Linked DNA regions of Coturnix japonica. The protein of the gene in region 2 interacts with the protein of the main gene of each other region in a biochemical or structural test. Links are inferred from orthologs where the notes say so. Each region holds a gene or a part of one and is shown on either strand. Other genes may lie near its edges.

What was found. The genes of interacting proteins can lie anywhere in the genome.
Region 1: the proteins of PDGFRA (region 2) and PDGFB form a complex in vitro, tested with the Homo sapiens proteins (3 studies listed by BioGRID). The link is inferred for Coturnix japonica from reciprocal best matches to the Homo sapiens genes PDGFRA and PDGFB.

The regions. Positions count from the first base shown.
Region 1 is NC_029516.1:46,279,015-46,283,266, reverse strand, and holds the start of PDGFB (platelet-derived growth factor subunit B), read right to left. Parts: upstream 2,823-4,252; 5' UTR 2,536-2,822; intron 1-2,535. UniProt on the Homo sapiens protein: Growth factor that plays an essential role in the regulation of embryonic development, cell proliferation, cell migration, survival and chemotaxis. Potent mitogen for cells of mesenchymal origin.
Region 2 is NC_029519.1:59,024,588-59,028,234, forward strand, and holds part of PDGFRA (platelet-derived growth factor receptor alpha), read right to left. Parts: coding exon 3,628-3,647; intron 3,525-3,627; coding exon 3,335-3,524; intron 2,822-3,334; coding exon 2,706-2,821; intron 2,213-2,705; coding exon 2,086-2,212; intron 1,206-2,085; coding exon 1,012-1,205; intron 1-1,011. UniProt on the Homo sapiens protein: Tyrosine-protein kinase that acts as a cell-surface receptor for PDGFA, PDGFB and PDGFC and plays an essential role in the regulation of embryonic development, cell proliferation, survival and chemotaxis.

The DNA.
Region 1 (4,252 bases), on a different chromosome or scaffold from region 2:
CGTGGATGATGCAGGGCGGTTTTTAGAAGCTCGACATCAGAAACAAAAAGCTAATCCCCGCCGAATCTCCAGACAGCAAGGAAGAGGATGTTTGGAATTTGACTAATCATCTACCTATGACCCTGCCTGGAAATAGAGCAAGACGATATGCGATATGCTCGGGCTTCAGCCGTGTTGCCTTGCTCTTTCTGCTTTTAAGACAGGAACAGATTTTTCTTCAGTGAGGTACTGAGATTCAGTCTGTGCCAGTCTCACTCCACCAAGTTCATTGGGGTTGAGATCAGCAGGGCTGCATGCACTCAACACTACTGTGCCCTGAGATTAGTGTTCCCTTTATTCTCTTGCTTTTGTGAAATCAGCTCATGATCTACTCTATGAACCCCTAAGTTTAATATGGACCACTATTGTCCCCTCTCATGGCCTGTTGGGTGGAGGCTTGCAAGTCCACTGATGGAGCTCTCAGGTTGGATATTAGGAAGAATTTCTTCCCAGGAAGAGCGGTGCTGCAGTGGCACAGGCTGCCCAGGGAGGTGGTGCAGTCACCTTCCCTGGAGGTGTTCCAGAACCGTGTGGATGTGGCACTGAGGGACGTCGTCAGTGGGCATGGTGGGGGTGAGCTAACGGTTGGACCAGATGGTCCTTATGGTCTTTTCCAACCCTAATAATTCTGTGATTCTATGATCAGTGCCACAGATCTCACAGCACATGGGCTTGGAGCCCAGTGCCATTGCATTGCAGTGGAAGATGCTTCAAGGCTACATAGAGTGGACAGATTGGAGCACTGCAACTTGACAAGCTCCTGTTGCAACCATGGTGGCTGGCAGTGGCCCCCAGACAAAGTGCAACACAAACAGATTTCCTTCAGAACCTGTAGTGGGATTTCTTATTCAAACTCTTTCACCAGCACAGCAGCTCCCCAGCTGCAAACAGCTGTGCTCTTCACTTATTATCTAATCACAAGGGAGGAGGTCAGTACATGCCCTAGGGCGACACATGGCTTCTTGATGTGAGGCCACCATCCCTTCTTCTTACACTGGTGGAAAAAATGATCTACTTGCCACCATCCACAGAGGCACAATGTTAGGGTGATATCTTCTTTATCTTCCCTTCCCCCACCCCCACTTTTTTTTGAGTATTGTGAAACAGCAGAAAGCAAAACAGGGTTCACAATGGAAAGCAAGACTCAATCCAAACAGCTGAGGTGTCTCAGCCTCTCGGTGATGAATCCTTTGCAAAACATCAATGGAAAGAAATTAGGAGGTGTTGACAGCCCGCGTGTAGTCAGCCCGCCCACTCAAGGCACCTAGTTTGGGTGTTGCACTGCTCCTGGAGCAGAGTGAGCCATCCCCAACCTTCTCCCCGTGGCTGCTGTCAATGGAGGGGAGCAGCTTTGCACTGGGAGGTTCTTGGGGTGCATCTGTTTTACGCCACGGGGAATGGTGTCATTGGGTTTATCCCAAACAGAGCCATCAGGATGAAGCTGCCACAGCTTCCTGATGGCTGGGTTTAGTCTATGGGAGGAAGACAGGAGGAAAGGGGAAGAGGAGCAAAGGAAGGAGACAGAGACAGGCAGGCAGCTTGTTGTTTATATCTGGTGCCTGAGAAAAGCAGAGCCTCAGGGCATGCAAGGCTTGCACAATTTGCCTCCTTGCCCTTGGCGCTGACAGGGAAAGTGCTTTCCAAGGATGAGTAAAGCACTTGACCCCAGAGCAAGGAGTTTGGTAGGACCTGCCAGGCTTCCTCTAGGAGCTCCATGGCAGAGGAATTCCTCCTGCCCCTCACCTTGTCTGTTTGCTCACCCCTTCCCAAAGGAGACCTGGCAAATGTGAGCACAACACATCCCTGGGACAGTGCACTGACCCTGACAGCAGGAGATGGGAGAGGGCTTGTGCCAGTCCTTGAGGTGAAGGAGAAGCAAAGCACCACCACTCACTGCCAGCCTGATTCATCTGTTTGTTCATTGCAGGGGAGTGGGACTGGATGACCTGTGAGGGTCTCTCCCGACTCCAGTGATTCTACAATTCTAGGAGCATGCAGGTCGAGCAGGATTCAGGGATGGAGGGCAAAGCTGGGGACACTGATTTCCCATTGCTTTCCTGCAGGCATACAGCAGAGAGGAGGGAGTGCAGTCTTCTCTGCTCACACCATCAGATATTTCTCTTCCCCCCCCACCCCCAAGTTTGGGGTAGAAGGGAACAATTTCCTTACTCTGGCAACCATCCATTATGTCTATGGATCTGCTCCCCACCCCATTCCCCCTCTCTTTCCTGTTTTGATGAAAGGAAAAAATGTTCTGCTTTCCTTCTTTATTTTTCCAGACTGGTGAATAGCACTCGAAAGGAATTTCTCTCCCTCCCCCTTTTCCCCTCTCCTGGTATAACAAATATATATATGTGTGTGTGAATGCGCCACACACCACGGGTCAGCTGTTTTTTTTGACGAGGCATTGGCTATTTTCATTCCCAGGGTGAGGAGCTGGGCATCCTTCCCCCTTCCACCCCCGGCCCCATCCCTGCCCACAGCCCCTCCACTCACCTCATCCCCATCCTCTGCCCCTGGGTGCACAGTGAGTGGCGGTGGCGGTGGTGAGAAGGAAGCTCGCAGAGCTGGAGTAAAAATAGCCCCAGAAGTTACTCAGCTCAGAACATAACATGACTCATGATGTGAAATGAAGATATGAGGGTCGAAAACCAAAAGCAAGCAGCTCTGCCTCCCCCTCCACCTGCTATATGTGTGTGTGCTGAAGCAAGACGTGCTACAAGCCCTGCATGTGTGGTCAGGGCAGAGAATGGGCAGGGGAGGGGAAGCCCCACGAGATCCTCCTGCCCACCCAGTTTGGGTGTGCCCACCCCAGTCTGGGTGGCTCTGGTGATGCTGCATCCCACTCCCATCAACCTGCCATCAACCACAGGCTCTGCACAGCCATCATCCCAGGCTATGTGCACCCTGCAGCTTCATTGCAATAGTGCACACGCAGCTGGGCACCCCGAATTGCCCTATGGCAATGGGCAGAGGAGCAGGTCGGTGGCCCACCACATACCCTGTCGCCATGCTGTGCGCACAATAGAGCAGCACCTTGCTATGGGGGTGGGCAGGCCGTGGCTATCTGCTGGTGTGTGTAATAAAGGAGGGAGTTTAAAAATAGACTTTGAGCTGCAGTGCCGGAAAGGCAGAGAGACGTATAGAGCGGGTGTGTATTTACCCTGTATTTACACACTCTGCGCCCGCTGCCCCGCTGGCATGGGGACCGCTCACCACAGGGATCCACAGCCCGCATTCCCCAGAATGGATGGGGTACAGGGGGTAGGTACCCTGCGGGTAGTGGGACTGCACAGGTGCCCAAGCATAACACTGGAGCAGTGGGATGGGTGCCCCCGTCTGCCCCAATCTGTGGCTCCTCCGCCCCCCTGTGCCCAGACAAAGTGGCATCTCTCAGGACAAAGCCTTTCAATAGATCCCCTGCCCTCTGCCCTCTGCCGAACAATGAGAAATCAAGGAATATTGTCCGAGCTGAATAAAAAGATCTAAATTTAGAGTGTCTGATGTGTTCTTGGTTTCCTGCCATGGCTCCCCTCCTCCTTCCCAGCCTCCTGCTCTGCTGCTGCCTGCCCTCAGCAAAGAAAGGTTTCTGCTGGGCTGAGATCACCAGTGAGACCCTGTGTCCCCAGCCATGAGGTAGAGGGGAATTCCAAGTCCGACTATTTCTGCAAGGAGGGAGGGGGAAGCAGGGCATTTTTTGTCTCATCAGCTTAGATACGCATGGAGAGGAGGGAAACTTAAGGTCAGGAGAAAGGGAACGTTCCCACCTCATCCTGTGGGAATGTGTCATGGTGTCCCTATGCTTCATCCTCCAACTGCAGCCATCGTTGGCCCTAGGATTTCTCCTTGAAGAGCCCTCATGCCAAGGCTTACAGAATCATAGAATCATGGAATCATTAAGTCTGGAAAAGGTCTTTAAGATCACCCAGTACAATGGCCACCAGCCCATCCCCACCATGCCCACTGCCCACGTCCCTCAGTGCCACATCCACATGGTTCTGGAACACCTCCAGGGACGGTGACTGCACCACCTCCCTGGGCAGCCTGTGCCACTGCAGCACCGCTCCTTCTGAGAATAGAATTCTCTGAATTAGAATCCTTCCTCATATCCAACATGAACCTCCCCTGTAGCAACTTGAGGCCATTCCTTCTCAACATATTGCTGTTACCAGGGAACAGAGAGACCTTCACCTCACCACAACCTCCCTTCAAA
Region 2 (3,647 bases):
ATAGGGCATTTGCATGCTGGGGGAGTGCAAGTCTAATAATTTTATGTATCTATATTAGATTATATGTTGCAGTGTTACGTGTATTTAGTTATTATAGTTGTACATTTGTTATGTACATGCAATTTCTACTATTTAGGCTATCATAGTTTTACATACGTGGCATATATTGTATATATATCTACCCATGATCGTACTAATGTTAGAAAGGGGTGGAATGTCCCATGGTTTTGTATTTGCTATCAGTATTCCACATCATAACATCATGTAAGCATGGCATACTCTATTGAATGTGCAGTCCGGCACAGAAGAAGTCCTAACATAATCCCAGAGAACAACAGGGGTAATGATAAGTCACGGAACCAGGACGCTATATAATCTTGTTCCCGAGGCTGGAGTGCCCTTCTTCTCTCGAACTTCTCGGAGAAGTGGGAAGCGTTCCAGAGCGTGTACGCCTAGAGTTCATTAGTAGGCCTCTCAGTTTTTCGGGACTCTCTCTCTCTCTGTTTCGTTCGATTCGTTAGCCTGCAATTATATTATATGTGTTATGTTGTATTTCGATATCATACTTAGTAAAATAGTTTTTCCTCCTTAGATTGCCAACTGTTTTTTATCCCATTCCCCTTTTCCCCCTCCTTTCTGGGCGCCGGGGGGGGAGGGGGGGGGGGCACAGGGTGGCTTCCCCTGTCACGGGCATAGGTAAATCTAAGTAACTCGTGACAGTTGGTAACTGTAAAGCCTCTCTGAGACCAGAGCTACACTGTCTACTTTGTTTAGAAGAACATCCCATGACCAATCATAATGAAATGATAAAACAAATCAGATACCCCATAAAGACCTGTAAAATGCTTCATTCTCAGTTGTTCCTTGGTGGATAAAATCCATTTTCATTTATTCTTATTTGCTGCAGATTATGTTTTTATCTACTAAGCTTTCTTATAGACTAAAATGAGGTATGTTAACGAGAGGTTAAGATGGCTTCTGTAATCTCATAGAAGGACAAAGCAAACTCACTGGGAGCCACAAGTTTCAGTTCCCGAGTAACAGCGCCAAGGTCGTTTCTTGCTACACATCTGACAGCCAGGGTTTCCTCTACCTTCTGGAAGGTCACCTGGCTTTCCACCATATTCTTCTCATCCAAGTGGGCTTCCATGTGTATATCAGAGACGTTGCTAGTCAGAAGAGTCCAGGAAGTGTCATTGCTGCATCTGCAGAGAGTGACAGTGGAAATACATGTTGGATGTAGGTGTAGATAAAAAGTCACCACAGTGGGAATCATCTTTTCCTATGCCTTTCTTCTGTCAATTATATTTTTAAAGAAATGCTTAAGACCACCTCTGTGAAAAGCCTGCATCATTCATATCCTGTAGAGTTATAGCAGTGGATCTCTACTTCTGCCTGAATCCTTCATGCCATACAAGGCTTCCTGGGGCAGGGCTAAGAGGACAACTGTCCCAGGTGGCAGGAGGAGATTTTAGTGCAGTGGGAGTGGAGCACAGCTGGGAGGTCCCAGGGCTCCTAGCCTCCCTTCATGTTTAGTCTCCTTTTCCTTGGATCCTTACAGATTCCTTTAGTCTCCTTTTCCTTGAATCCTTACAGATTCCCAGGGAGAGCTCAGCAGTTCCCAGCAGCTACAGAAGAAAACAGTCTAGAACTAGCAAAACCAGGAATGATTACTACATGTGTCTAGAAGTCTTAGAAGGTGAAAATTATAATCTGGGGAGAAACTGTCCAAGTGAAAATTTAGAAGCACACAAGAGTATTAATGAGGCAACAGGGCTACCTGTGAAGTAGCAGGAGTCCTCAGAATGGAAAGACAGTTAACTTTAAGATCTACTACATTCAATTATTGAACACAGAACTTTTATCAAAGTTAAATGGATGCATTGTGTATTCTTCTATAGGACATTAACACTAGGAAGGGTACTGAAAACCTCTCAAAATATAAGCAGTGTGTCTCCAAAAAGACATCAGAATTATGGCTTACTGGCTCTTGATGAAGAAAACACGGTATGATAACTAATAATGTTAAGCTAGCCAAGAACAACGGAGTCATGTTTTAGATAACAAAGTTCCTCTTCTTCTTACTTTTTAATGTCCTTGCAAACCAACCATTCCACATCAGGAAGCGGGGTCCCTTCAGCCAAGCACCTCACTGTCTGCCTGCCAGTGGAGCCCTGGTGGTCATCCACAAGGTCTAAGATCAAGGCTGGAACTGGAAAGGAGTCAAGAATTTGTTAAAACGTTCAACAGGGTCTAAAAGAGCAGCCTGAAATCTCAAACAAAGCAGGGCAGGTACTGTTTGTCTGACAGCTTAGTGGCATCTAGAGCCACTTGGCCAGGAGGTCCCTGTCTGCTGAAGAACACAGGGTATCACAAGCTAGAGCGATGAAAAGAAAGTGCTGCGTGTATGCCACGTCCTCATGTCATGCTAAATGAGTTATCGTTCCCGCTGTCAGCTGGAATAACTTAGACAGGAGGATAAAGTTTCTTTCTGGCACAAGGCCAGTGCAGAAGTCAAAGCCAGGATTACAGTATGAGAGCTACGAGGACTCAGCAGACATGCACTGCTCCAGACACCCCAGTTCACACTTCTCTTATCTCTATAGCCCAGGCAATCCAGTATTCATTGTTGACCCATACATAAGTGGATCAAATTCATGCTGTGGCCCATCAGTTCTGGTAAGGAAGGCTTTTGAAGCCATTACCTTGTATTAGCAAGGAGAAGGTGTATCTCTTAACCTCATCTTCATTTTCAGCAACCAAAGTATAGTACCCACTGTCTTCTTCCTTGGCCCGGATCAATTTTAGTACACTTTGAAACCTGCAGAAATGAGAGTTTTGGTTTATATTTTTGTATTTTTACATTTTGTTTGTATGTTGAAAGCAGGCATAAAAAATCTACTTCAATGCAACATATAATCTGGACACACGGATATTATAATGTGCTGACACTCAGCATTTCTGGCATGCCTTCGCACTAAAATCATTGTTCAAACAGTAAATAGTCACCAAAACACAACCAAGAAAGAAGTGGGCATTATTATATCCTGCTTGGCTCCAACGAAGACTGCGATGTTTCTAGAAATAGCTAAAGATAATTAGAGAGAAGATTTCTTGGAGGGACTGAAGAGGGTTAGTACCTAGAATCCAAGATTTGTATGGTTTAGAGATGTTAATGTTATTAAGGCATCACCCTTTAGAGCAGAAAACATAGGATTTTTAAATGTTATTGAGGAAGAACTGCAGTGGAAAGAGAAAGCAGAAGTTCTCAGGTTTCTAGGGGAGAAACACTTGAGTCATCGTGGCAAAGTAAGATTCATAAGAGTATTTTTACCGTGTTTCCTGGACTCTGTTTGAACTAGTAACAATCTCAGTAAGGTTTTCAATCAGAGTCACATTATCCTTCAACCAGTACATTTTTGGAGCGGGGTACGCCTGCACATCGACGACAAAATTTTTGACTTCATGTAGATTGACAGCTTCCAAAGGGCTAAACTGAGGCTCTAGATGAATGAACCCTTTGTCTGTAAATGAAAAAGCCACGCATGAACAATGCTGTGCAGCATTTTTCAAGAAGAGTGTTTTCCAACACATTAATAATTTTTGGACACTGAAATGAGACTATACCATGAACTGTAATGACTACT